Linked DNA regions of Saccharomyces cerevisiae S288C. Changing the gene in region 2 together with the main gene of any one other region gives a genetic interaction. Each region holds a gene or a part of one and is shown on either strand. Other genes may lie near its edges.

Region 1 (4,356 bases), on a different chromosome or scaffold from region 2:
CGAGCCTTATGTATCAAATTCATTATTCCCTCTTTGTCATCATTTATCTGTTGGAAATCATCACCCTTTTTCAAAAGCTGCTCGATGGCTATCTTTTCGGATATCTTAGCCTTGGCCTGAAAATCATAGTTGATCCAGTCCCGTAACTCCGGATCATCGGATTCAAAAATGTCGTAATCCTTTGTAAATAGTTTCCATAATGACCCAAGCGTAACGCCTTTTTGACTGATAAAGCTTTTAGTGTGTCTAAACAAATTTGGGACTGTCCAATACAATTCGGGGATGATGATCGTAAATCCATATTTCTTATTAGTTCGGAGCATCTCCAAAAAGGGATCGTAGGTAATATCACAGAAAAACTCAACATCGGGTTCCAATCTCCAATACCATTCGTACTTCTGTACTAGCGGGTGCTTGTAAAATAATCCTGAATAAAACCGGCACATCTTATGATATGATTCTAAGTTTCCGTAAAGTATGCTTCTATCACCTTGATCCTCAATTGCGTTGTAGAACTCGAACGTATCCTTTACGTCACTGGGAAAATTCCAAGATATCTCATCGATAGTGCCAAATTCCACCAGCGCGCCCACTGTAACATCACGTACTTTTGCTTTGAAGTCCTCTTCAAACGGCTGGTCATTTAAGAACACATATGGATAGTGGAACCACTGATTGAAATGCTCTTCTATACTGTTGATAGTCTTGATAACATCTTCTAGCTCCCCGTTCCTTGTTAGCATGACAAACGAGGCATTCTGCTTGATGTACGATGGATTCAACAAATAGTCCTGAGTATTCACACAATTCGAATAAAAGGGTCTGTCCCTCTTCGTCGCAAGATCCATCTTGGAAAACGGAAGAAAATTTCCCATAGTTCCGTCTACGGATGCAGGCTCAGATACAAGTACCACATACATGGTTATGACGAAGGCAATCAGGATGCACGTCGCCGTAAGATTGCAATGGATACATCCCAGAAATGCATTTATCGTCCTTCTTATTAGCAACATCTGCTACCTTATGACGATGTGCCGTATTGAGACACATTTATTGATGACACCTCCATTGAACAAGACTATTTGTGCACGGAAGCACTCATATCTACTACTTCGCATTTTTTTGAAGACCCTTTCTCGAATGCCTGCCCAAATTTTTCAATTTTCTTGGCATCATCCACACACCGCATGCTTAAAGTGTACTATCCAAAAAATGAGAGAAAAAGCAAATACCTAAAAGCACCCCACCTCTTCCATATCCCACGTAATGGCAATTGGCATATATGCTCGGCAAGGGAAATTACTGGTCGTAATATAGTGCAACATGCAACTTGCCAGGCGCACTATAGTCACATCTTATTATGTTAGCAGTTGAGCTCCAGCTTTGACTGCACTTTAGCTTAGTTGCAACTTCGCCCCTCTGTTGGGGGCTGAAAAGTACATCCGCGCATTTAACAATTGCTAAGCTATCTTGAATAACATTATACTAATTAATATCTATAGAAGCAGAATGTCTACTACGTCGAGGACCCTACCCCTGTATTTGTGCCTTGCATGAGCGAGCTATATATCAGCGATACGTTTTTTTGTTTTCCTTTCGACCTTCTTGCCTACCCTCTCACTTTTCCCACCTGAATTTTTTTTATCATATTAGTCCGATATTGAGTTTATAAACCTTGTGAAGTGCTAGATAAAGTACAATCAAAAGAGCAGGCAATAGCCATCACAGCAGTTTAGTACGATTATACACTCTGAACGCGAGTAAAACTAGGTTGTATTTTTAGTCTCGATTGGAAGTTTCGTCAGACAGTACAAGGAAGATGTCATTCAGCAACGGAAATATGGCTTCCTACATGACTAGTAGTAATGGAGAGGAGCAAAGTATAAACAACAAAAACGATATAGACGATAACAGCGCTTACAGACGTAATAATTTCAGGAATAGTAGCAATTCAGGATCACATACGTTCCAATTATCGGACTTGGACTTAGATGTGGATATGAGGATGGATTCCGCCAATTCATCGGAGAAAATATCAAAGAACCTTTCCTCTGGCATCCCGGACTCATTTGATTCTAACGTGAACAGCTTGCTGTCTCCGTCAAGCGGTTCTTATTCTGCAGATTTGAATTACCAAAGTCTATACAAACCAGATCTTCCACAGCAACAGTTACAACAGCAACAGTTACAACAGCAACAGCAACAGCAACAGCAACAACAACAGCAACAGCAGAAGCAAACACCAACTTTAAAAGTCGAACAATCTGATACATTTCAGTGGGACGATATCTTAACACCTGCTGATAATCAACATCGGCCATCCCTCACAAACCAGTTTTTATCTCCAAGATCTAATTACGATGGTACCACTAGGAGCTCGGGCATTGACTCCAATTATAGCGATACAGAATCAAACTATCATACGCCTTATTTGTATCCACAGGACTTAGTTTCTTCACCTGCGATGTCTCACTTAACCGCGAATAACGATGATTTTGACGATCTTTTGAGCGTCGCATCTATGAACTCAAATTATTTACTGCCCGTAAATTCACATGGTTATAAACATATTTCAAACCTTGATGAGTTGGATGACTTGCTATCTTTAACATATTCAGACAATAACCTTTTATCAGCATCAAACAACAGTGATTTCAACAACAGTAATAACGGAATTATTAATACCGCTGACACTCAAAACAGTACCATTGCCATTAATAAAAGTAAAGTCGGTACTAACCAAAAGATGTTATTGACTATTCCAACTTCTTCCACACCTTCTCCTTCCACTCATGCTGCCCCGGTAACACCCATCATTTCTATACAGGAATTCAATGAGGGACACTTCCCAGTTAAAAACGAAGATGACGGAACGTTACAACTAAAAGTTCGGGATAACGAAAGTTATAGCGCTACTAACAATAACAATCTACTTCGTCCAGATGATAATGATTACAACAACGAAGCTCTCAGTGATATTGACCGCTCCTTCGAAGATATCATTAACGGTCGAAAATTGAAACTTAAAAAATCAAGAAGAAGATCTTCTCAAACTTCCAATAATAGTTTCACTAGCAGGAGATCCTCGAGATCAAGAAGCATATCTCCCGATGAAAAAGCTAAATCTATAAGTGCAAATAGGGAAAAGTTATTGGAGATGGCAGATCTTTTACCATCCAGTGAAAATGACAATAATCGGGAGCGCTATGACAATGATAGCAAAACTAGCTATAACACCATTAACAGTAGCAATTTTAATGAGGATAATAATAATAACAATTTGTTAACAAGTAAACCAAAAATTGAATCGGGCATTGTCAATATTAAAAATGAACTAGATGACACTAGCAAAGATCTTGGCATACTTCTAGACATAGATAGCTTGGGCCAATTTGAGCAGAAAGTTGGTTTCAAAAATGATGATAATCACGAAAATAACGATAATGGCACATTTTCTGTTAAGAAAAATGACAATCTAGAAAAACTAGACAGTGTAACAAATAATAGGAAAAATCCTGCGAATTTTGCTTGTGATGTATGTGGTAAGAAGTTTACAAGACCTTATAACTTAAAGTCACACTTAAGAACGCATACAAATGAAAGGCCATTTATTTGTTCTATTTGTGGTAAGGCGTTTGCACGTCAACATGATAGAAAGAGACACGAAGATTTGCATACAGGTAAGAAAAGGTATGTATGCGGTGGTAAGCTGAAGGACGGTAAACCCTGGGGTTGTGGCAAAAAGTTTGCAAGAAGTGATGCTCTTGGTAGGCATTTTAAAACTGAAAGTGGTAGAAGATGCATCACTCCCTTGTACGAAGAAGCCAGACAGGAGAAATCGGGACAAGAGAGTTAATTATTTTTGTTTTTTTAAGCTTTGAATAGGAATTTTTTTTTTCTATATAATAAATATGTAATTTCATAATGACAGTGTAGAAATTATGGCTAATCTAATCCATGCAAAGGTATTATTTGGTTATTGTTTTTGTAATGAAATAGTATAAAACAGTGATATTCTTACGGATTAATAGTTTTTACGCCCGTCTGAATTTTCTAAGCTGCCGAAAATAATGGCAAGTAACAAAAAGTTATTGTATGAGGATGCGTTTTACGTGGCAAAAGTTTTGATGCCAAATAGACAAAAGTAGCTCAATTCAACATGACCTCATCATCTGGTGTTGATAATGAGATTTCCTTAGACAGCCCGATGCCAATTTTCAATGAGAGTTCTACTTTAAAGCCAATTAGGGTTGCGGGTGTAGTAACAACAGGGACAGATCATATCGACCCTAGCGTACTACAGGCATACTTAGATGATACTATTATGAAATCCATTACTTTGGGGCAGCTAGTGAA
Region 2 (7,649 bases):
GTCTCGAAACTCTTATGGATATATCATCTATCTTCCATCCTTAAAGAAGACAGTAGATACAACTAACTATGTTATTCTTCAGGGCAAGGAATCCAGATTAGATCAATTCAATTACGACGCACTCACTTTCGATGAAGACTTAAACCGTTTAACTGCTTCATATCATTCGTTCATTGCGTCAAATGAGATCCAAGAATCCAATGATCTTAACATAGAATCTGACCATGACTTCCAATCCGACATTGAACTACATCCTGAGCAACCGAGAAATGTCCTTTCAAAAGCTGTGAGTCCAACCGATTCCACACCTCCGTCAACTCATACTGAAGATTCGAAACGTGTTTCTAAAACCAATATTCGCGCACCCAGAGAAGTTGACCCCAACATATCTGAATCTAATATTCTTCCATCAAAGAAGAGATCTAGCACCCCCCAAATTTCCAATATCGAGAGTACCGGTTCGGGTGGTATGCATAAATTAAATGTTCCTTTACTTGCTCCCATGTCCCAATCTAACACACATGAGTCGTCGCACGCCAGTAAATCTAAAGATTTCAGACACTCAGACTCGTACAGTGAAAATGAGACTAATCATACAAACGTACCAATATCCAGTACGGGTGGTACCAACAACAAAACTGTTCCGCAGATAAGTGACCAAGAGACTGAGAAAAGGATTATACACCGTTCACCTTCAATCGATGCTTCTCCACCGGAAAATAATTCATCGCACAATATTGTTCCTATCAAAACGCCAACTACTGTTTCTGAACAGAATACCGAGGAATCTATCATCGCTGATCTCCCACTCCCTGATCTACCTCCAGAATCTCCTACCGAATTCCCTGACCCATTTAAAGAACTCCCACCGATAAATTCTCATCAAACTAATTCCAGTTTGGGTGGTATTGGTGACTCTAATGCCTATACTACTATCAACAGTAAGAAAAGATCATTAGAAGATAATGAAACTGAAATTAAGGTATCACGAGACACATGGAATACTAAGAATATGCGTAGTTTAGAACCTCCGAGATCGAAGAAACGAATTCACCTGATTGCAGCTGTAAAAGCAGTAAAATCAATCAAACCAATACGGACAACCTTAAGATACGATGAGGCAATCACCTATAATAAAGATATTAAAGAAAAGGAAAAATATATCGAAGCATACCACAAAGAAGTCAACCAACTATTGAAAATGAATACTTGGGACACTGACAAATATTATGACAGAAAAGAAATAGACCCTAAAAGAGTAATAAATTCAATGTTTATCTTCAACAGGAAACGTGACGGTACTCATAAAGCTAGATTTGTTGCAAGAGGTGATATTCAGCATCCTGACACTTACGACTCAGGCATGCAATCCAATACCGTACATCACTATGCATTAATGACATCCCTGTCACTTGCATTAGACAATAACTACTATATTACACAATTAGACATATCTTCGGCATATTTGTATGCAGACATCAAAGAAGAATTATACATAAGACCTCCACCACATTTAGGAATGAATGATAAGTTGATACGTTTGAAGAAATCACTTTATGGATTGAAACAAAGTGGAGCGAACTGGTACGAAACTATCAAATCATACCTGATAAAACAGTGTGGTATGGAAGAAGTTCGTGGATGGTCATGCGTATTTAAGAATAGTCAAGTAACAATTTGCTTATTCGTTGATGATATGATATTGTTCAGCAAAGACTTAAATGCAAATAAGAAAATCATAACAACACTCAAGAAACAATACGATACAAAGATAATAAATCTGGGTGAAAGTGATAACGAAATTCAGTACGACATACTTGGCTTAGAAATCAAATATCAAAGAGGTAAATACATGAAATTAGGTATGGAAAACTCATTAACTGAGAAAATACCCAAATTAAACGTACCTTTGAATCCAAAAGGAAGAAAACTTAGCGCTCCAGGTCAACCAGGTCTTTATATAGACCAGGATGAACTAGAAATAGATGAAGATGAATACAAAGAGAAGGTACATGAAATGCAAAAGTTGATTGGTCTAGCTTCATATGTTGGATATAAATTTAGATTTGACTTACTATACTACATCAACACACTTGCTCAACATATACTATTCCCCTCTAGGCAAGTTTTAGACATGACATATGAGTTAATACAATTCATGTGGGACACTAGAGATAAACAACTGATATGGCACAAAAACAAACCTACCGAGCCAGATAATAAACTAGTCGCAATAAGCGATGCTTCATATGGTAACCAACCATATTACAAGTCACAAATTGGTAACATTTTCCTACTCAACGGAAAAGTGATTGGAGGAAAGTCGACAAAGGCTTCGTTAACATGCACTTCAACTACAGAAGCAGAAATACACGCAGTCAGTGAAGCTATTCCGCTATTGAATAACCTCAGTCACCTTGTGCAAGAACTTAACAAGAAACCAATTATTAAAGGCTTACTTACTGATAGTAGATCAACGATCAGTATAATTAAGTCTACAAATGAAGAGAAATTTAGAAACAGATTTTTTGGCACAAAGGCAATGAGACTTAGAGATGAAGTATCAGGTAATAATCTATACGTATACTACATCGAGACCAAGAAGAACATTGCTGATGTGATGACAAAACCTCTTCCGATAAAAACATTTAAACTATTAACTAACAAATGGATTCATTAGATCTATTACATTATGGGTGGTATGTTGGAATAGAAATCAACTATCATCTACTAACTAGTATTTACATTACTAGTATATTATCATATACGGTGTTAGAAGATGACGCAAATGATGAGAAATAGTCATCTAAATTAGTGGAAGCTGAAACGCAAGGATTGATAATGTAATAGGATCAATGAATATTAACATATAAAACGATGATAATAATATTTATAGAATTGTGTAGAATTGCAGATTCCCTTTTATGGATTCCTAAATCCTCGAGGAGAACTTCTAGTATATTCTGTATACCTAATATTATAGCCTTTATCAACAATGGAATCCCAACAATTATCTAATTACCCACATATATCTCACCTTCAGCATCTTTTTCCCCATTTTTTTACTTGTAGTATAGATTGTTGTTTACGTGCACGATTAGCTTCTTCAAACCAGGAAACAGCAATGTATACATTGGCAACTTGGCCGAGTGGTTAAGGCGAAAGATTAGAAATCTTTTGGGCTTTGCCCGCGCAGGTTCGAGTCCTGCAGTTGTCGTTATTTTTGAGTTTTCCGATGTCTATTTTGTGATAATAGTATTAGAAGCAGTACGTGAAATAGTGCTAATACTATCTGTTATTCTTTTTGAATAGAATATGATTATATGAATTAAATACAATTTCAACAAATAGGTTTAGAAGGTGCATTAATATGGAATTTTTTCAATTTTTGTTCACATTCTTTTTCATTTACATAAATGAAGTCCGAAATCCGTTGTTGGCTTTTGAAATTTCAAAGCGTTAGTGATTTGGCCCAGAAAATATAAATATAGCAAAAACATCTAGATACAAGATTGAAATAAACTATGTTCAACTAATTTGGGCGCGACCTGTGATACCTGGGATAGAAATCCTTAATCTATGAGTAACAGGTAACTTTGGGACAACAGCACCAAAGGTTGTCAAAAAACAATTCCATGAAAACAATTTCAAATCATAGTGAGCATAATGAGTACTAACTAAGAATAGGGCGATCGGGACACTAATCAAAAATTTTCTTGAAGGAGTATATAAAGTCTCGTCGTCAATTTGTTCCCACATCGTCAAGTTGTCATAAGCACCACCATTGAAATCGAAAGGGGTACCCTTAATCAGATGGAACATGACATAGGACCCAATAACATATGTCATATTAGTCAGAGTCCACGACCATTCTGTGGTAACACCAGGAAATAAATTATAAAATAGTTTCAGCAGTATGATAATGACCACATGAATAATCCAAGCGCCGCGTTGGTCTACCCAAGTAGCATTCATATTTGGTAGAAGTTGCTGGTCATTTTCATCTTCAAAAGTCTCCGGTTCCACATGTGAAATTATGCTGGAAGAACGCCTTCTTCTATGATCTTTCACAGGTTCCGTCGTTTTAATTGATGAAGATGCACTGCCTGCAGAAGGAAACGGCTTAAGGTCCGTTTGATTTCGACTATACGAGGTAGAAGCCGCCTCAGCAGTTCCTTGATAATCTAATTCGGTCATTAACTAAATGGATAAAAATGCAATGAAATACAAAATAAGAATAACTCTGCTTTTTAGAGAATATGTGGTAAACAACAAAAGGTAGTTAGGGAAATTCAAAAAGGGAATATCAAGCAAAGGAAGATGTTATCGATCAGTGAATTTTTCTTGTTTCGTGAATCCACTGAAATATCTGCATCTGAAGGCGAGATCTCATGATAGTTTTCTAAGGTCTTAAAGTGAAAACATAGGCATTTCACTATACCCGATAGTTGTCGGGTAACGGCTTTGAGTCTACGATGGTTTATATACCGCAGCTCCGTTAGCAAAGGAATAGAGGAAACTCGAAACAGGTAGTCTAGCAATTTGTGTAGGGACTAAACATATTTCGACTATTCTCTATAATCCGTTCCTAAACTACATGCCACAAACTCTCGTATTGAAACATTCCATTAAAAAATGACCGTCGGAAGAGATTACGGCCTTGGTGCCTGAAGACAGGTGGCGCTGGCGGCCCTACGCGCTCTCTGACACGTCCGCAAACTCAACAGCTCCAGGCCAACTCCCCAATGACCGCCATATATATAGCTAGCTTGGATCAATTGGTCTGTCTCGGAAGCAAGTACGTTATGTACATCATTTCACTGTGTGAAGCAAAAGAAGGAAGACTAAAACTCTAAAATTAGTTAAACTAGTGTTTTCAGCAAAATGGTTTCCCAATTATTCGAAGAAAAAGCTAAAGCCGTCAACGAGCTACCAACGAAGCCCTCCACTGATGAATTATTAGAATTGTATGCTCTGTACAAGCAAGCCACTGTAGGTGACAACGACAAGGAAAAGCCTGGTATTTTCAACATGAAGGACCGCTACAAGTGGGAAGCCTGGGAAAACTTAAAAGGTAAATCCCAGGAAGATGCCGAAAAGGAATACATTGCCCTTGTTGATCAACTGATTGCCAAGTACTCCTCTTAGAAAAGGGGTATACTAGCTCCATGTAAGGAGTTTTGGCCTAGCTTTCCTTGTTACTATTCTATTATTATATTTTATTGGCTGCAAAAACGTGACTTATGTACATTTATAAATGCCCATATCCCTTACTACTCTCCCTGGGGACAAGGCGTAATAACTGTTAATAAATGCATATACTCTGTTCTATTTAAATTCTCGGGGTTCGCTGGAATATTGAATCACAATTAGGGAGATTCGCATGTAATTTACGCCGAGAATGATACTGATTTGTGTTGAATATGACAAGGTTTAGCGGAAACACGCTCTTGAAATTTTTAAAGATATTTTCATGATTTATATACAGACTGATCTGTATACATTTTTATATTGTCATACATAGGCTTTAATAACTACTCAGTTTTTTTTGATGGCGGCAGAAGCAGCGCTTTCATTGCTCTACACAAATCCGCAATTCAAGTGACAGACGCCAAACTAGTGGTACAGTACACTTACTGAAGCGCACCATGTATACCCTGATCTACATCTAGAGCTTGTTCAGTTTTTCTTTATGCTTTTAATTACGCCAGGAAGAAAACCGTTCTTACGTGGTGGATGAAATAGGAGAATTCGGGTTTCTGGGAAAACTTAAAATTTCTTGTTGGAAAAGTAGAAAGAAAAAGAAAAGTTTGCCTTCTGAGAAAATGCTACATATGGTAGAGACATCAATCGATTGCTCAACACGCGTTAAAAAGGGGAAAGTGATTGCCACTGTGATCACTTTAAATCATTTCTTCGTTCTCATTCTTTTCGTCTAATTTTCTTCTCTACCACTCATTATACCAGGCATTTTATCTACATCAAAATTTGTTTTGAATCGGATCATATCATGAATAGTACCGCCGCTGCAATAAATCCAAATCCAAATGTTATACCATTCGATGACACATACATTCTCTATGATTCGCATGACTTTCTATCATTCCTTAGTGCATATTTCTCGCTGATGCCCATCCTAGTGCTAGCTTTTTATTTGTCGTGGTTTATCATCACAAGAGAGTTAGAAGCCTGCATTGTAGCCTTTGGCCAATTGATGAACGAAATATTCAATAACGTGATCAAGAATATAATAAAACAGCCACGCCCCGTATCGTTCGGTGCGTCGTTCCAAAATGACACTATAAGATCCGGTTACGGGATGCCCAGTGCACACTCCCAATTCATGGGGTTTTGTTTTACCTATAACTCTCTGAAGATATACACTTCCTGGAAGAATCTAAACTTCTTAGAAAAATGCATTTTTTCTGGTGCATTGGCTTTATTATCGTTTTGCGTTTGCTTTTCCAGAGTTTACTTGCACTACCACAATTTAGATCAAGTAATCGTGGGATTCAGCGTGGGGGCACTGACTGGATCACTTTATTTTTTTATAGTTGGCATCATAAGAGAGCTTGGTTTAATCAATTGGTTTTTAAAACTACGTATTGTCAGATTATTTTACATGACAGATTCTTACAATCTGGCGCCTTTGACATTGAAAGAGAATTACGAGGCGTATTGGAAAAGAATAAATCAGCGATCTTTCAATGATAAATCCAAAAGGGATTAGGTTGAACATTTCATTTTTCTTATTTTTTCATCTATTTTAGCGAGGCGATCTTGAGCGTTTGTGTAACTGGATAAAACTTGGCAAGCTGGAGTAGTCCTTATTTCTCATAAAGAAAGCCGAAAGCCTGCTCTCCTACAGTTATTAATTAAGAACGCTCGTTTTAAACAGTTACTGTGTAAAGCGACGGTAATCGAAAAAGTATGTGACATCGTGCAAAAGAAGATAATCAAAACCATGCAGAACGTAGAATAAATGTGAGTTCTATCACTTGCGGAGATAATACCCTCTGACGCCGCGGGGCCGATTGTTCCACGGAGGGAAAGAATCGGCCCTCGGGTTTTACGAGAGCGCCGCGGGTGAACTCACTTTTTTCTCGAGAAGAAGTTTCCTACGGCAGAATAAGACCCTTTTCCACGGATAATCAGCGGAGCTTCTGGACATAATAGATGGTTTGTGAAAAAGCTTAAGGAAAGCCGCGGATTTAGCATGTCACCCACACTTAGATTACGAAAGCAAGGATTGCAGAAAAAAAGATGAGATACAGTTTTGAGGGCAATATATAAAATATATAAATATAGCAACATTCCCTTCTCTCTGTTATGTCCACAATACTTCTAAAAGTTGTAACATATATCTATACATAAAAACTTGTAACAAACATATAATTAAAACAACTAGTGACAAGACGGAAGTTATAAGTTATCTTCTCTACAGAAACAATACGTAATGTTACTCACACCAGCCAAGACTACAAGAACGGAAGACTCAGCAAACTCAACAGATGACAGCAGTAAAAGCAGTAATTCATTCATGCGTGCCATAGTTTCTTCCCTTATGGTTAAGCCCATAACATCTCTGACTAATACAGTCACATGCAGACAAAGTTCCCATCACAATAGCTCTCCAAGTAAAATCACAA
Region 3 (8,361 bases), on a different chromosome or scaffold from region 2:
TAACAGTGAAATTTTCATCCTCGAATTTTTCATCGTATATGCTCTCACCGCCAGTACCATTAAAATTGGTAAAATCACCAAATTGACACATGAAGTCTTTGATCACTCTGTGGAAAATGGAACCCTTGTACGACAATGGTACATCAGGTTTAGTCTTTGCCATACCAGCATTTCCTTCACACAACTTCAAAAAATTTTCAGCCGTTTTAGGCACTATGTCATTGTACAACTCAAAAACTATACGGCCTTGGGGTTTACCTCCAATAGAAATATCAAAAAAAGTTTTAGGTCTAGTCATTTTTACTCCTTGATCGCCTGAATATTGTCTTACCAGTTTTCTATGTGATGTGAGCGCATCAGCACCTCTGATATTCGACTTATTTAAATAATTTTCTGTCTGAACTTTCTCCAGCTAGGGCGGAAAAATATTCTAGAAGCTCATAGAAATGCCGTTCAAAAGCGTAACAGTTATGTTCTATAAAGGGAAACAATGTGTTTCGATCACTGCAGCTGTCTATTATATACAAGTTATACATCACGACATTTAGATTTTCATTTCTTCTTTTCCGAATCCTTACTGGTCGTCCCATCCACGTCCACTGTGCTTACGCGCTCTCTATTACCATTCTTTTCCCAACACTTCCTAAATAACGCCATCTCGTTGAAGCACTGCCTCCAGTCACCTGTTTCGGCATGGCACAGCTGTAATGCGAGGTTCTCTACGTAGCATCCGGTCTTGGATATTCTCGTGTCCCACACATCCGGGTCTTCGTCTTCTTGGACCTCTTTGTATTCTTCCAGCGCCTGCTTATAATACTCTGAAGTTTCGCCAGTTTCACTCATGACCAGTCTGCCAGTTTTAGCCTGCCAGAGCTTTTCTTTCCCTTTAATCTTCCCTTGTTTGGCGCAACTCTTAGAAGTGCCTTTCACTACCTTTAATGGCTGAGGCCCCTTTTTTTGTTTCGGACATTTGTTGTGAGAAAAAAAAGAAGAAAATAAAAGCATAAATGAAGCGAATGGATGAGAAGAGGGGAGGGAAAGCAAGAACGAGAAGGACAAACATCAGGGACCCATACTTCAATAAATTGCTTGATTTGGTGTTAATCAATTCTTCTAACATCAAACCTCTTTTAGTTTCCTTCGATCGTTTCACGTTGCTTATATTGATTGCTTTTTACTTCTATTTTTTCACTAGAATAAACAAACAAAGACATTCTGTTGATCAAGAAAGTTGAAAATGGTATTTGGTTTTACAAAGAGGGACAGGAGGGTACCTGATTTATCTAGGTATGATTACTACTATCAGAACCATGAAGATTATAACAAAAGTCCTCAGCTCTCTGCTGCTGCTGCCTCTGCTGCTTCTGCCGCATCACCGGATCGAACCAATTACTCAAGGTCGCACTCGCTGGTTAGTCATGCACCTTCAATACCGAGACAAAGAAGTTCGGTAAAGAGCCCAGGAAGAAGGCTTTCCACATCCTCTGCCGCTCCGCCAACGTCCAGGGCAGCAGCTAAGCAGTATTCACAGAAGACTTACTCGTTGAGGTCGCAAAGGAGCGGAGAGTACCATTTACACCCGCCCGGTTATACTACTAATGGGAGCCGTATGAATTCTATGACGTCTGGTGCGAATGTCAGAAGAAACTACGGTAAGAACAAATCGACGGCCGGCAACAATAACGATTCAAGGGCCAACTCCATTACCGTAAAGACTACACAAGTAACAGACCCTTCAGGAAGGACTCAATCAATTACCAAAAAGACAATAAGAAAAATAAATGGGTATGAATACGTAGAAACCACGACTACGACTAAGAATTTGGTTCCATTAGGTGACTCGCAGCGTCATTTCGATGAATTTAGTGAAAATTACATGTTGCAAGATGACGACATTTTAGAGGAACAAGCTAGTGATAACATTCACGATATAATCGAGGAAAACGAAACAGATAACGAAAAGCCATATTCCCCAGTAAGCGAAAGTCATTTACAAGATGATTCAGAGCTAAACGTGGAAAAACCAGATTTCCCACTTGGATCATATTTCCACCATAAGTATTCTACAGACGTTATGCCTCTAGAAGAAGAAAGTAGTTTATCAAACTTCAGTGACGCATTAGATTATATTCCTCCCACCCATCAGACCAGTAGTAAATATATTCATAATAAAAGGAAGCAAGCATCGACGACAAGAAGGAAGAAAAGACCGCCTGCCGTGAAAAACGCAGAAGCAGAGGCCAAGAAACCATTAACCGAAGCAGAAATGTATCTGAAGGCACTAGAGGTTGCTAAAAGAAACGTTTATCACACGGATGCTGCTTCGGATAACGCATCGGCCCCCCTCGGGAGTAACAAATCCAGGAAAAGTAGGATGGGTCAAAAAATGACCTTGAGAAGCAGTAGTGATTCTCCGACGGCGACTGCTAATCTTGTCAAATCTAATGTCGAGGTTCAACCAAAAAGATTTACAAGTTCCTTCTTCAGCAGAAATACTAAAAGCGCCCCCCATGAAGTGCACAATCACTCTGTGTCTACACATTTTAAATCGAATAAGGCTGTTGACCCAGTTCCAGAGCCTAAAAGTGCAAACACAGGGCTAACAGATAAAGAAATGTATGACCAAGCTTTGAAAATCGCACAAGCGAGGTATTACAACTCACATGGTATTCAACCTGAAGCAGTCGATAATAGCACTACGGCGGCTAAACCTCGTCAGGTCGGCGTTAGCCATCTGGGATCCACTGGGAGCATCCCGCCCAATGAGCAGCACTATTTAGGGGATTCTGAAATTCCAGTCCAAAGCGAAGTGCATGAATACGAGCCCATTCCATTGCAGAAGACAAAAACAACTGGTTCTTCCAAAAATAAGTTCAAAACCATGTTCGATAAAGTGCTGCAATTCTCTCAAGAAAACTACGGCTACCAGCACAAGAAGGAACAAGGCGAACAAACTCCAGTTACTCGTAATGCTGAAGAAAGCTTCCCAGCAGCGTCTATTTCGGAAGGTGTGACAACCGCAAAGCCATCTTCAAACGAAGGTGTGATGACGAATCCAGTAGTTACAGATTCACCTTCACCCCTTCAACAACAAATAGACTCGACTACTGCGTCCTCGAATGGGCAAAGTCAGGGCAATGTACCTACCTCCGCAGTAGCTTCAACAACGAGAACAAGATCACCGGAACTGCAGGATAATCTAAAGTCTTCTTCTTCGCTTTTACAGGACCAAACCCCTCAGCGTCAGGAAGACGCCACGGATCCAACAACATCATCGACGAATGAATTATCTGCCGCTGAGCCAACAATGGTCACTTCGACACATGCCACTAAGACAATACAGGCTCAAACACAAGATCCTCCCACGAAGCACAAGAAGTCCAGTTTCTTCACTAAACTGTTCAAGAAAAAAAGCAGCCGTTAGCAGTTGTTTACTCGAATTTTGCAATCAACCCTAATTTTTGAAGCCTGGTTTTAGATTTATTCTCTTCTTTTTCTTCTTGTGAACTTCAATTACTAATGTAACTTAATTTTTAATATAACTTTTACAGTTTAATAATATTGATTTTTTTCGGTCTGGACCAATCGCGCCGCATTTCTCACTAATATTACTAACATACCCTCTTCTCATTGGCTCGGTACCCCTTTCGTGACCCGCATTTTTTGTTTTCTTTGTTAGCCCGAATGTCTCACAATGAAGATGTAAAATTAAGATTATATATGAAAAATTGATACAAAACAAAATAGTTCAAATAATCAAGTTAAAGCGACATCACTCTCAATTTTTGCTTTTTTTAGGTTTATAGAATAGAAATATAACAGAACGAAGCCTTTAGACTCTTTTTTTTTATTGGTATATTGAACAAAGAAACTTTTTTTTTGTCCTCCCATATCTCGTGCACACAAATATTATGTCCATTGTAGCACTAAAGAACGCAGTGGTGACCCTTATACAGAAAGCGAAAGGTAGTGGTGGAACCTCAGAGTTGGGGGGGTCTGAATCAACTCCCTTGTTGAGGGGTAGTAATAGCAATAGTTCAAGGCATGATAACTTATCCTCATCTAGCTCGGATATTATCTATGGTAGAAATTCAGCGCAGGATCTAGAAAACTCACCGATGTCAGTAGGGAAAGATAATAGGAATGGCGATAACGGTTCGGATAACGAAAAGGCGAACCTAGGGTTCTTCCAATCAGTAGATCCTCGCGTAATTAGCGATTTGATTATCGGGCTAAGCGACGGTTTAACCGTCCCCTTTGCTCTAACAGCTGGTCTATCTTCACTTGGTGATGCGAAATTGGTCATTACCGGTGGCTTTGCTGAGTTGATCTCAGGTGCGATTTCTATGGGCCTTGGTGGCTATTTGGGAGCGAAGAGTGAATCTGATTATTATCATGCTGAAGTAAAGAAGGAGAAAAGGAAATTTTACGATAACTCCAACCTAATTAACAGAGAAATTGAAGACATTCTGTTAGAGATTAACCCTAATTTCTCGGACGAAACAATCGTTTCGTTCATCAAAGATTTACAAAGAACACCTGAGCTAATGGTTGACTTCATTATCAGGTACGGTAGGGGTCTAGACGAACCTGCCGAGAATAGAGAACTAATCAGTGCAGTCACTATCGGTGGCGGTTATCTACTTGGTGGGCTAGTACCACTAGTGCCATATTTTTTTGTCTCAGATGTGGGCACAGGTCTCATTTATTCTATAATAGTCATGGTTGTAACATTATTCTGGTTTGGTTACGTAAAGACAAAACTATCCATGGGTAGTGGCAGTTCGACTTCAAAGAAAGTTACGGAAGGTGTTGAAATGGTTGTTGTGGGTGGTGTAGCAGCAGGTGCGGCTTGGTTCTTTGTTAAGTTACTGGGTTAAGTGTAAAGTAACAACACTATACATATTTATTGTAAAGAAATTTGGGATTGAGAAGCTTTGCTATATACTTGGAACTGGGCTGGATTTTCTCGACATACATTTCTTTTACGTTTTAATTTGTTTCTATATTCTCCTCTTTAAATTTATTTATATTAATGAATTTCAAACTAGTTTCTTTTTCTATTGCCAAGAGGCCCATCAGGTGATCCATGATAACCTTTATTCGCATTGAATCGTTTTTCATTGGATCTAATTCGTCATTTGGTCGCCGCCTTTCTTTGCTCCTTCTGCTTTTTTCTTTTTCTCTTTGACTATCAGGTCATAAGATCTTCTCCTCCATTATGCCCAAGTGTTTTTCTTTTTTTTGCCTTTATATAAATTACAAAATACATACATATACTTCTCGTGCAGTATACTGGAATCAGCTTTATACCATATGAAGCACAACTTGGATCAGGACCGCTCTTCATTAAAAATCGAAGAATTATCTAAATAATTAATGTGCACGTCAATATATTCTCCGCGGAAACATGACAAACTTTTAGAAAAAGATTTAAAGCAATATTTTTCAGTTCTCCATTTCTTTATTTTTCAAGACCAATTCTAGTTCACCAATATCAAACATTCCTATGCCTTCCTGCAGAGCATCTGCCAAAATGGATAGTGATTTATTCGTGAAATCCGGGGCAGCTCTAAGACGATTGATATCATCACCGTAGTTTTCAAAAAGTAAATTTAAGTATTCTTCCCTTAACTTTGTCTTGTCTTTCCCTTTGGGCACAAAGTTTTCTGCCAATTCATTGTATTCTTCTCTCGCAAGCTTGATATTTTCGGCAATTTTCGATGCATTCATAAAACCCTCCTTGTTTTGAGATTTCGTAGGCTCTGGGATCTTGCTCAAAGAAATTTTGGTTAAATCGTCTATCACTTCTTTTGAATTTAACTTCAAATCCTTGCTTTCTTCGTCTGTAAGCTCGACATCCGAAACTTCTATTGCAATGTCCTCTTGTTTGTCTTCGTCATTACCTTTTGAGAAAACATGATCACTTTTACCATTTTCTCCAACGTGTTCTTCGATGGCCCCATTTTGGATTTCCTCCTTTTCACTTTCTGATGATGGATCCGATGATGAAGAATCTGATGATGAAACATCAGCTGTTCTTCTCTTCTTCCTCCTTCTGTTTTTTTTGACAGACTTGATATTTATGGCTGATATATCACCTGCCGACATCCTGTATAATATATTATGGCTAGTTCTTTCCGTGCTATTTCAAGTGGGCAGTTTAAATTCTTGTATATATTACTACAATATATGAAAGTTTTCGCTCTTCGTTTTTTGCAAATTTTTAGTGATGAGCTCTTCGCGCAAAGAAGTTTTCAATGCCCGTAAAGGCACCTAATTATATATCGAATTATTTTAAGCTTTCCGCTTCATCAATGCATTTTGTCTTTATATATCTAGTTTACAAAATAATATGTTGCTATTGCCTTGCTTTTAAAGGCTCAATATCTTGGACTTACTGCCTAGAATAGCTTATCCATTTCCACTAGCGCGTAGTCTAATATGTAACTTTGTTCAACTAAGTTATCAACCCTTGTGAAATGCCTTTGCGTGTATGGAATTATTGCATCAACTATCTTTACCATTCCGGGTATCTCACTCAATTTTGCTATGTTATGATGCATCAAAATACATCTTATTGTTCTTTGCGCTATGGTATGTGTTTTTGCATTTGTATTCCAATCTCTGCATCGTTTCATTAACAAAATTAACTGTTCATCATTTAGGATAGAGATGGCTTGGTCCAATTCTTCATTGAAAATGACTTCAATTTTGCCCTCTTCGGTATCTTGTCTAGACCTTGATTCGCCCAAAGCTCTTTTCAAAACATTAAACAACCTCATTGGGTGATCTAAAGTCATTGCTAACAAAAATGCATTTGTCCAATCACCTTTGCTCATATAATTTTGAAGCGATTGTTCTTGTTCGACTTGTAATTTAGCTTTTTCTTGTTCTTCTTCTATTTCTTGTTCCGTACAATCTTTCCAAAACTGAAAAACACCATCTGCATCAGCACTTACGATCATATCACCATCATTCATAGTACTTAAAGCCCATAATCTATTATTATGACCATCCAAAGTCTTCAGACATTCACCGCTAGAACAATCCCATATTTTGATCAAGCCATCAGCACCACAACTGATCAGTTGTTTTTGCTTATTAATAAACGAACATCTTTGAACCGCATTGGTATGACCTTCCAATGTTTTCATAACGCTGAATGTATCCAATGACCATATCTTGACTGTTTTATCACCTGAAGAAGTTGCCAATAATTTATCATATTGGCAAAATGATACATCCCATAGTCCACGCTTGTGGTTGGCCAACGTGGCTTCCAATTCACCATTTTCTAGGTTCCAGATCTTACAGGTCTTGTCGTATGATGCTGTTGCAAAAATAGAATCGTTAGGAGAAACTGACAAAGCATTGATATCCTTTTCATGGGCATGACGAGTATATTCGGATACCTTGATGATTTGAACATCCATACTAGCAGTTGGCTTTGGAATTATCCATTTCTTAATTGTTAAATCATTCGATGCTGTCAATAAAAATTCAGGATATCCCTTTGAAACTATATTTGGCAATCCAACAGCAGTTACGGCAGCTGAATGACCAATATACTTGGCATAAATATCAAACTTGCAGCTGTTCTCATTGTATCTCCAAACAATAGCCGTATTATCTTTAGAGGCGGTTGCGATCCACAGGCCATCCTCAGTAGCATCCAATGAATTTAGCAAATCTTCATGACCTTCATAAATTTCGACATCCAAAGGCAGCGAAGCTTCTGGGCCTGATAAATCGGGGACGGGTATTATCCTAAGCGATGGAGAATTGGTAGCTAAAGCTAATTTATTCAGCTCTGGGCCAACATACCTCATGTCAGCAATAATACCATGATTACCAGCAATGCTCGAAGTGACCTGTATTGTGTCTTCATCATTCTTTAAGTCTTCTTCAACGTTAATTAGTTGTAATGTCTGGTCAGACAATACTAAAAACATCTGTGAATTGCTCAATATTGGAAGTACACCAATAATGAATAACTCTTCTATAGGTTTATTGGTTCTTTTAAGCACGCTACCAGATTCAGAGTCAATTAACTGAAAGATAGCATCACCGCCGGCTGTATAAATTATGCGTTTACCGTCACCATCCTTTAGGAATCCGCATGACTCTACCTGTTGATTTACTGGAAGTGTTTTCAACAATTTACATTTCTTTTTCATATTGAAATCCCAGAGATTGATGATATCGTCTCTACCACCGGAAAGTAAATTTAGGCTTGGCTCATCATTATCTGGTACCTCAATGATATCCAACCCTCTCACAGCAGATGTGTGCTCTTGTAATGTGTGCAAGCACTTCCTTTTAACAAGATCCCAAACCTTTACCATACCATTGGTGTCA
Region 4 (9,439 bases), on a different chromosome or scaffold from region 2:
TAAACACACGAATAGTCCCTACGTTATCAGTACTGATCAATATCGTTCCAATTGCGTCAACGACATCTGGGATAGCACTGGTGGCGGAAGCATTAGAAATTGAGCCTGGTTTAGAATTGTAGCCCAAAGACGACTCTACATCTGACATTATGCCATCGTCGTTACTCCGACTCAAAACATCGAAACTATCGGATGTCTGAAAAAACTCTAGAGATAGCTCGCAGATAACATCGTTAGACAAAGATAATGTTTTCGAAGTTTCTGGCGGTGCAATGCTAACACAAGTAACAGGGGCATTGTGTGCATGAAAAGAAATGTAATCCGTATTTTTGATATAATGATCGTTGCTATGATGAGGCAAGGGAAGTAAGTTAGTAAGTTTTAAATGATGATGTGGTTTTTCTTCGTTATTCTGGCTGGAAGACCTACTCATTGATTTACTAAATATGCTTCTCAAACTTCCGGACCGAGCCAATCCCTTTGGTTTCCTTTTAGGTTCGTCTTGATCATTCTCTCTATCCGAAGACTTTAACCTCCAGCCGTAAACCCAATGGTCATCACTACTATTTACAACGATTGGCTGACCATGCCAGATGGACAATTGTGCCTTGTGTTGGGAAGATCCGCTATGGAAGCCTTTCAATACCTCTAGAAGCTTCCTCTGTTCTAAGTCAAAAATTCTTATCCTCGAATCATTCGATGTAACTACTAAGCGGAAAGAATTGTCCAGTTGAGATCTAAAAGCTTGCAAACCCGTCACACGTGGACCATGACGAATTTTTGAGTCAGTTTCCGTGACCATGACGTGAGCGTTTTGTTCTTGTGTTTGTCTATCAGCTACGTGAAATGAAGAAACTGGAGTGAGACCTCTGGTCATCAGAATATGAACGTATCCATTAAATGTTCCTATTATAGTGTATTTTCCCTCCTCAGGGGATAATGTAACAGATGTTATTAAGTCTTGACAATCGTACTCAAAGCTAACTTCATCATCCAGTATAGACCATAACCTGCATTTGTGATCCAGACAGCCGCTAATGAAAAATCTATCGTCGGTGGGGTGAAATTCCACACAAGTGACAAAATCAGGATGTATGAATGTCTTAAGTGAATTTTTCCTATCGGGATGCCATAGTTTTACTGTCTTATCCATCGATGCTGACAAAATAAAATTATTTTTAGACCAATTTATATCCAGAACATCTTGCACGTGTTCTTTATACAGTCGCAAAGGCGTTGGGTGAAAGACAGGCGCATACAAATTCAATAATTTTTCCTTCTCTTCGTATTTCTCTGTAGCAGAATCCAAAAATTGTTTTTCTTTTGGATTGTTCAATGAACTGACCTGCTGTTTGATCCGCATCGACTTGGCTCGTGCCTCTTTATTTGATTCCGCACTCGAGTCCAATTCGGCTCTTTCAACTGGAGAGCCAATAACTTTCCATATTCTTATTTTACCATCTTTGCTACCAGTGGCCATAAATTTTCCATCGCGGCTAAACTTTGTACTCCATATAGCTTTAGAGGTTGGTTCAGATGATTTGGAAGTGGAGGTAACCGTTTCACCTTCGTAGGCCATTAGTTCTTGCGCGAGAAACAATCTTCTAAATTGTTTCAGGTTTTTCCGACGTTTCAACATTTTAATGTATTTTGGCTCTCTCAAATAGTTTTCAAATTGCTCTGTATCAATGGAATTGAAAGGGTAAAACTCATTGACCCTAAGATTCGAATTTAAAGTATTGCCTCTCTGTAAATGTTCCTTTAGTCTCATAAATGAATCAGTGGCGTTGCCGTTGTTACTATATTTTAATTTGTCATTTGTATTATTAGTTTTTGTCATTCTGAACTTCAATGGCTCGATATCTGCAGAATATTCAAGATTTAGTTTGCTTTTACTTTTACTTTCACCGGAACTGGACTCGCCGTCGAAGCTCTCTTGATGCGACCGACTCTCCTCTTCAGATCCAGTGGTATTCGAGGAATTGCTGAATTCAGAATGTACCTTGCTTATACTTGTTTTATCCTCCGCCATATTCGTCATATTTCTAATTCTCGTACTATATTATACGCCACTACCGTATACAATATGCCAAGAGCTCAGCAACTGCTTTCTATTCTTTTTCTTTGATTGTCTTTGTTCCTCTTTTCCCTCTTTCTTTTCCTCCTCTGTTTAACAAGTTGGAGAGAGTTGCAGTCTTGTTCCCTATACGGTCCAGCTGTGACTTGTACGAACGCGTATTGTATCCCAGGAAGAAATAATGATGTAACTCGCTTACGAAGCTTAAGAAAGGGCAAAAAAAATGTGTCCCCCCTAACTGCGAAAGTGAAAAAAAAAAAAATTAATGCGTTGAATTTACACAGTTCTATGTATAATTAACTGCTACGATAGAAACTGGACAGTAGTAAGAAAGATTGGACTAGGCATCACCCAGACTTTACTTTTTCGGCATACATATCTATTTATATATAGTTTAATACGTAAATACAAATATATATATACTGTAAATTTTAATCATTAAGCTTTTCTTTTTTTTTTGTTCACGCTTTCACCCTGTGAGGCGAATGAGGTTAGCTTTTTCCCTTTACGGGACTAGGTAAGGCTCCCCATGGCTGAGCCCGCGCAAGGAAATCCAGGATCATCCGCGGAAGAAATAAGCTGCTCCCGGCCCAGACTATGTAAGAAAAGTGGCAACAAACAGAAAAGCGAATCTTTCCTTTCAGGCAATGCAAGGGTCCTTTGCCGTTTGGCGAATTCCGGTAACCTCGACTTGCGCCCCGCGGGCTTCGCTTTGACATCCGCGGGTATAAGCGTCCGTCCTTCGGCCGACAACAGGTCGGTCTTTGATCTCAATTCCGTAGATGGAAGAATTCTGATAATGCTGTAAAAGAAATGAATAAGCAACATAAGTCGTGTGAGAGTTGCTAAAAGAAGAGCGCAGCCTCTGCGGACCATTCTATTTTCTGTAGTTCTTCTTGTCCCCGTTAACCACAATAGTAACGGAGTGCGTATCGCAATCTACTTGAACTATCCATTTTTGAAAATTGCAACCTCTTGCGGCTATAGCTATAAATTCCGTCCGGCTCGGCTCGGCTTGCTTCGGCTTGCTTCTAACTAATGCTTCTCCCCTGCGAAGGAGAATCACCCAACTGTTCGTCACCAATGTACGTCCACCCACCAAACTGCTTTTGAATACTTGCACTTAAGTACTCGTCCACTACACTATCGATCGGTTTTTCCTTAGTGAACTCTTGATCAAAATTTGCAGTATCTATTTCACTCTTTACAATTGGCTTGTAAGGCGGAATATAGCCCTTCAAAAGTAGCTTTTTCCATGAGATGTCTTTAAAGAAAGGATGGTTACGAATTTCATCTGTACCGTTAACGCCGAGTCTTCTGCTTGGGTCTCTGCTTAAGAGGCCAATTAATAGGTCTTTTGCCGCAGGGTCAAATCCATCAGGAAATAGTAGCGGTTGCTGCAGAATTTTCTTGTACATAACAGGAACGTTCTCATCATAGTATGGTGGCAGCCCTGTCATCATCTCATACAGTAAGATACCTAATGTCCACCAGTCAACTGTTTTAGTATAGCCCTGCCCCAACAAGATTTCTGGTGCCAAATATTCGGGAGTACCACAGAAAGTGTCTGTTTTGTCATTATCCTTCATGTTCAGCTTGCAAAGCCCAAAATCACACAGTGCAATATGTCCTTGGTAATCCAATAGAATGTTTTCAGGCTTTAGGTCACGATAAATGACGTCAAGTTTGTGTAATGAATCGAGAGCACATAATAGTTCTGCAATATAAAAACGGGAGCGTGCTAGACTGAATCGTCCCTCGTGTTGTAAATGGTAGAACAGTTCACCGCCATTAATGAAAGCTAATACTAGGTACAACTTCTCCGGAGATTGGAATGAGAACTTCAACGGAACAATAAAGGGGCAGTCAACTCTTGCTAGGACAGTCCTCTCCGCTAAAGTATGTGTCACTTCACATTTCGATACAATATATGCTTTTCTCAGAGCCTTCAAAGCGTAAATCTTTTGGGTATCTTTTTTCCTTACTTGCATCACTTTGCCGAACGAACCCTTCCCGATAACCTTCAATAGATCAAAGTCATCAATGGAGAGAGGCTTGTTCTTAGAAGGTTTGTAGTCCACCGTGATATTTAATTTACCATATCCCCTTTCTAAAGAAATCCAATGGTGATTGTATAGTCTTATTTGGGCTGCAGAATCGATTTTTAAATTCAAAGGTAAATGGAAGGAGTCCAAATGGATATCCTGATTTGTATTGATTTTTTTTAAAATCTCCTTCAGTACTTCGTCCTGCTCGCCAATCTCCTGTTGCCAGTTTTTAGAGGGTAAAAGTAGGGATGGAATCCTTGCAAAGACATCGATTTTTAAAAATCGTAATTTTCTTGTTACATCAAATGTCGATATTTTGTTAAACACTGGTTGCTCCATCGTTCCCATATCTGGACTAATAGTAGTAATAGAATTATCAAATTCAATTGTAAAATAAAGTAATGGGCTTGAATTTGTTGACCCAGGTAACAATATAGAGGAAGGAATGAATTTAGTGGCAAAAGCTCTATCTATCAAGCCTTCCCCTGCTGAATCTTGATCCACTCTCTTGTATCGTGGTAGCTGCCGCATTATGGCTGCAACTTCGGAAGCGTCATTGGATGATGAAGTAAGGATGCCGGAACTTAGTAGTTTTTGTAAAATAGTAGAGTTAGAGGTGATAGGGAAGGGAAGAGTAAAATCTTTACCAGAATACACCTTCACTGTCATTAGTCCGGATTCCGAACTCGGTCCCTGCGTCTCAGTAGACGACTGACTAGCTTTCCTTTCGGAAGCCTTAGAATTGTCATTTCCTATCCCCGATGGATTCTTGAAGGATGCATCATTACGTAATTTTGGAGAACTTAAGGAACTTGGGAGAGTCTCATTTGTATTGATCTTTCTTATATGGTGTTCGTGTTCATGATTATGATTCTTCGGGCTACCATCGTGATGTTTTTCTCCATGGTGGAAATGAAACAGGCCATTACCCCACGATTTTTCATTTTCATCTTCACTACTCCCATCATCTTCTTTGGACCTTCCTAACTTAAACTTGGATATTCGCCAGGAATGCATGTTACTATATGTATATTTGTATACGCGATAATTTGACCCAGTTGAACAATTCTGGTTTAGGAGCACTTTGGCTGAATTTTATCATTTTATTTATAAATCTAAGGATGACGGCCATTTTACAGATTTCTCGAGGGAAATATAATAAAAAACTCGGGGTAGGTAATCTGAATTCGGGGATACGCTAATTTGGGAAAAATTCGTGAATTAGATATAATTAGAAACAGCACTTATGAAGAAGATACTGCGATTAACCAAAATATTCTCCTCCTTATGAAAAAAAAAAAAAAAAGACTCAGAAACCTATGCAATCGTTTGCTAATATGTCGAAATATGGATCTATTAAGTATATAAAGTATGTGTTCAAAAAATTGAAATTTTCTTCTTTACCGTTAATATTCATTGAAAAAGGTGAAAATCATTAAGCCATTAGTAAATCATTCGTTTTAAGTACGAACCGTTGGTTCTTCAGTTCCTAAAACTTGTTTAAAGTTCAAGAACTTGATGACCGAGTTAATAATTGGCTTCAAGTATTCTTCAGCTGTCTTTTGGTATTGTGATTTATCATCGCAGTATTTTTCAATGTACAATCTAATGGTAGCACCTGAAGAACCTGTACCTGACAATCTTAGAACGAATCTTGCACCATTGGAAAGCTTGACATATAAACCTTGATGGTCAGAAACAGAACCGTCCAAATCTGTGTATGAAAAATCACCACAATCGGTGACCTTAAGAGACTCATCGGCTGGGAAGGCGGAATTAACAACACCCGATTTGGTAACATATGCTCTCAATTGATCGACAATCTTGTTAGCTTTTTCTGTTTCAACTTTTTCAAAATCATAACGAGTGAAGAAAGTACGGCCGTACTTTGCCCAGAATTCATTCTGTATCGTCTTAATAGAAGCTTCGTTCTCCGGATGATGCTTGTTGTAAATGGCCAAGATGTTCAACCACGCCATAATGGCCCAAACACCGTCCTTTTCCCTTACGTGGTTGGAACCAGTACCAAACGATTCTTCACCACAAATAGATAATTTTTTAGCGTCGAACAAAGCACAGAAAAATTTCCAGCCAGTTGGGACCTCATAACAGTTTAGACCATGGGCCTTGGCAACACGGTCTATGGCTCCTGAGGTAGGGAATGAACGGGCCAGACCATATATACCTTGCTTGGCGAAATATGGGATTTCAGCTGCATATTCGGCAATAATTGCGACGGAGTCACCTGGAGAAACGAAAGATGGGCCGTAACCGTAAATCATATTTCTATCACCATCACCATCGGATGCAGCACCAAACTCAATCTTTTCACGATCTACTCTTTTCACTAACGAACTGGCATAAGTTAAGTTTGGATCTGGATGCATACCACCAAAATCCGGAGAAGGATGCCAGTTTTGTAAAACCTCATCCGCCGGTAAACCAAATTCATCAACGAAAATAGCCTTACCGTATGGTCCAGTTACACCGTTCATACTGTCAAACAGTAACTTCCAATTCTTAGTAGAACGTTGATTATCGATGAATTTCTTGATTAAGTCGAAATCGAAGATTTCCTTCAAGAAGTTGACATAATCTTTTGTAATATCGATAATGTCAACGAGTAATGGACCGTATTTCTTGTTCTTGCCTATCGTACCCAAGTCTAGTTCTGGGAAGTCTTTGATAATCTTATAGCTGGTAAGCTTTTTGGAAATCTCCCAAATAGCATTTGTGACGGATTCAGGAGCAGGACCCCCATTGGATAAGTTATACTTAATACCCATGTCATTTTCTGGACCACCTGGATTATGTGAGGCGGTTAAGATAATACCACCAGTACATTTTTCCTCGTAGGTTCTCATGATGTGAGAAGCGGCTGGCGTAGACAGAAGACCATGCTGGCCAATAACTAACTTTTTAATACCGTTGGCAGCACCGATAGCGGCAATCTTATGAAGAATGACATCATTGTAGTAACGCCCATCACCACCGACAACAAGAGTGGCACCTTTAGAACCCTCTGGAATAGCTTCCATGATCGATTGAATGAAATTTTCTGTGTAGTTAGGTTCGTCTTTAAACACCTTTGTCTTCTTACGCAAACCAGAGGTACCAGGCTTTTGGTCTTCATATGGTTTGGTGGGAACCGTTTCAATTTGAAATGACATGTTATGTTAACTTTTGTTACTTTTTTTACTGAGAAAGATTGGTTGATCTTCTTCTTATTATCCTATTGTTCAAGCAACGCTGAAGAAAGACATGGAACACTATCTTCGAAAATGAAACAATATTAACGGTACCTTTTTATATTTCCCACATTGTTCGGGCGGCAGTCATCCAGATTCTGAAAGAATCAACTATTTCTTTTACACTTTTCAACCCCTGTTTGTTCCTGGAACTGCACATAACAAAAGTATAACGTCCCCTTTCACGTAAGTTCCCCACGAAAAAAGTAGTGCGCGACACCACCCCTTTTCGTGAGCTCCGCGCTTCTCTTCACCGAGCCTAAGTTGGGCCTCTCCCCCCTAGAAAGAACAAGTTGGCCCTGTTGTCCTTAGCTCGCAAGCTCAGGGGCAGCAGCGTGTGTTGAGATTAGAGAACCGCTCGACCTCAACGGATGATAGTATGATTTTAGTACATACAGGGAACGTCCTCTACCCACGTTTTATTGTTGTTGCATTTACTTTTGAACAGCGACAGGGGGGAAGGTGTAAAGGAGGAAAAGCAACCTGCATGGCTAGTGTTCAAAGTTACAAGGTAACAATGCAAATCAGTAGTATGACAATTATTTACCCGCTATTTATTTTTTTTTCTCTTTAACTGTGGTGACGAAAACATAACTCAAAGGATGTTAGACCTTTTTTAATTATTGCTATTGTTTGGACTTCCCCTACTGTGTTGTTCACCGCGCTTCAATAGCGTTTCTAGGTCCGGGATCTTTTCCCTCTCAAGCTCAGTTTTTAGTTCGGAGTCGAGTTTTAATTTGTCTACTTTCTTGATGCCGAGCACTTCAACCAATTTTGTGCTATCAAATTTCTTGTGCGTGTAAGGACTTATTTTGTTTTTCAATGAGTCAGGAAGCTCTGGGATTTCAAATTCCCTGGAATCATTGATCATCAGTTGGTGAATCCATTCCAGTAGCACCTGTTGTTGCCTGTAGACAAAAACCGTGGGTATTCTAAGAGGATCCTTTTTGTTTTCCTCTTGGTCTTTATTTAAAGAGGGAAGTGGGAGAGTGGTGTCTGTTGTTACTTCGCCTATGGGTTGATAGTAGTTGCCTAACGGAATCTCTGGTAGCTCATCTGTATCCATTGAATCTACAAATTGTTCCATAAGCTCATCGATTTGATGCCCGTCTGTTTCCTTTTTCAGCGGTACCCCGGATGTAGTTGTTCGATCCAGAAGTTTTGGAAAATCAGTTACCCTCTCGTCTTCCGCGAATGGTAATCTACACAAGGTAAGGCTCTTAACAAACTTCTTCTCGGAATTAATGTTACTGTGCTCAATTAGAACGGGACACAATGCACACATATTCACTTCACTGTCTTTCTTGCTCACATATCTTGCAACAGCAATTTTTCTATTTTCTAGCATAACATCCACTAGAGCACTGAAAGCCATTAAGTCAGATTGACAGCCAAGTCTTGTGTCGGCGGTAATGAAGGAGGATTCCGACGTCAAAAAGTACCTTGGAAGAGCTTCTCTATTCAAAAATCCTCTTAAATCCAAGCCTGGAAAAGATTCATATACAGTTTGATCGACTAGAACGGACGGTAGCACTACGTAGTCTGCACCATAACGGTATGCCTTCGTTACAGAGTCTTTGGAGATGGTCACGGGAATGTATGACGATCCAGACTGGTCATCTTCACTGACATTTTTCTTATTTCCTTCGTTGTGAATTTCATATTCGATTATGGATTTGACCCCCACATACCTTTCTTTCTTCTGGGAGTCTTCCACCTCAACAGCGGTTTTCCTATTTAAGCCTGAAACTGCTTTCGTAGCAGGAAAAGCCTCTACCTTGATACATAAGCAATTTTCATCTTGCATGCTGCCGCTAGGATTCGATGTTTGTGTTGATAATATATCTGCCCCTAACCTAAGCTCGCCTGAGAATACTCTTACTGGCTTAACGACAGATGTTGCTGGGGAAGTGATTTCAACAAGAAGTTCATTCATATTGTAGATTCTTGAATTCGGTATCGCTTCGACCAACTTTAACCAGTTCGATTTTTTCCTCTCCTCTTGAGTGTCTTTACCGCAATCAATCAAAATGATTCTTGTGCTTAATTCTTCCGTTAGCAGGTCT

What was found.
Region 1: of ORM1 (region 2) and CRZ1, changing one suppresses a phenotype caused by changing the other (phenotypic suppression), as found in Saccharomyces cerevisiae (one study listed by BioGRID).
Region 3: of ORM1 (region 2) and CCC1, extra expression of one rescues a mutant of the other (dosage rescue), as found in Saccharomyces cerevisiae (one study listed by BioGRID).
Region 4: of ORM1 (region 2) and YPK2, a mutation in one rescues a mutant of the other (synthetic rescue), as found in Saccharomyces cerevisiae (2 studies listed by BioGRID, with this or other methods).

Annotation. Positions count from the first base shown.
Region 1 is NC_001146.8:577,761-582,116, forward strand, and holds CRZ1 (DNA-binding transcription factor CRZ1), read left to right. Parts: upstream 1-1,819; coding exon 1,820-3,856; downstream 3,857-4,356. Other genes in the region: KTR5 (putative mannosyltransferase), read right to left, coding at 1-1,013; SAM complex subunit SAM50, read left to right, coding at 4,160-4,356. UniProt on the Saccharomyces cerevisiae protein: Involved in the regulation of calcium ion homeostasis. Binds to the calcineurin-dependent response element. Transcriptionally regulates PMC1, PMR1, PMR2A and FKS2.
Region 2 is NC_001139.9:557,230-564,878, reverse strand, and holds ORM1 (sphingolipid homeostasis protein ORM1), read right to left. Parts: upstream 4,198-7,649; coding exon 3,529-4,197; downstream 1-3,528. Other genes in the region: long-chain fatty acid transporter ACB1, read left to right, coding at 4,885-5,148; CAX4 (dolichyldiphosphatase), read left to right, coding at 6,011-6,730; YGR035W-A (uncharacterized protein), read right to left, coding at 7,093-7,314; YGR035C (uncharacterized protein), read left to right, coding at 7,457-7,649. UniProt on the Saccharomyces cerevisiae protein: Component of the SPOTS complex that acts as a negative regulator of sphingolipid synthesis. Acts by inhibiting serine palmitoyltransferases (LCB1 and LCB2) activity.
Region 3 is NC_001144.5:572,914-581,274, forward strand, and holds CCC1 (Ccc1p), read left to right. Parts: upstream 1-3,911; coding exon 3,912-4,880; downstream 4,881-8,361. Other genes in the region: peptidylprolyl isomerase CPR6, read right to left, coding at 1-298; COA4 (Coa4p), read right to left, coding at 553-1,005; MSC3 (Msc3p), read left to right, coding at 1,238-3,424; RSA3 (Rsa3p), read right to left, coding at 5,449-6,111; U3 snoRNA-associated protein UTP13, read right to left, coding at 6,405-8,361. UniProt on the Saccharomyces cerevisiae protein: Has a role in both calcium and manganese homeostasis. Involved in the transfer of iron and Mn(2+) from the cytosol to the vacuole for storage of these metals.
Region 4 is NC_001145.3:470,312-479,750, forward strand, and holds YPK2 (putative protein kinase YPK2), read right to left. Parts: upstream 5,143-9,439; coding exon 3,109-5,142; downstream 1-3,108. Other genes in the region: LAF1 (Laf1p), read right to left, coding at 1-2,041; YMR103C (uncharacterized protein), read right to left, coding at 2,591-2,953; phosphoglucomutase PGM2, read right to left, coding at 5,586-7,295; YMR105W-A (uncharacterized protein), read left to right, coding at 7,753-7,947; ATP-dependent DNA helicase YKU80, read right to left, coding at 7,990-9,439. UniProt on the Saccharomyces cerevisiae protein: Plays an essential role in the proliferation of yeast cells. Involved in a signaling pathway, required for optimal cell wall integrity, that acts in parallel with the PKC1-SLT2-dependent pathway.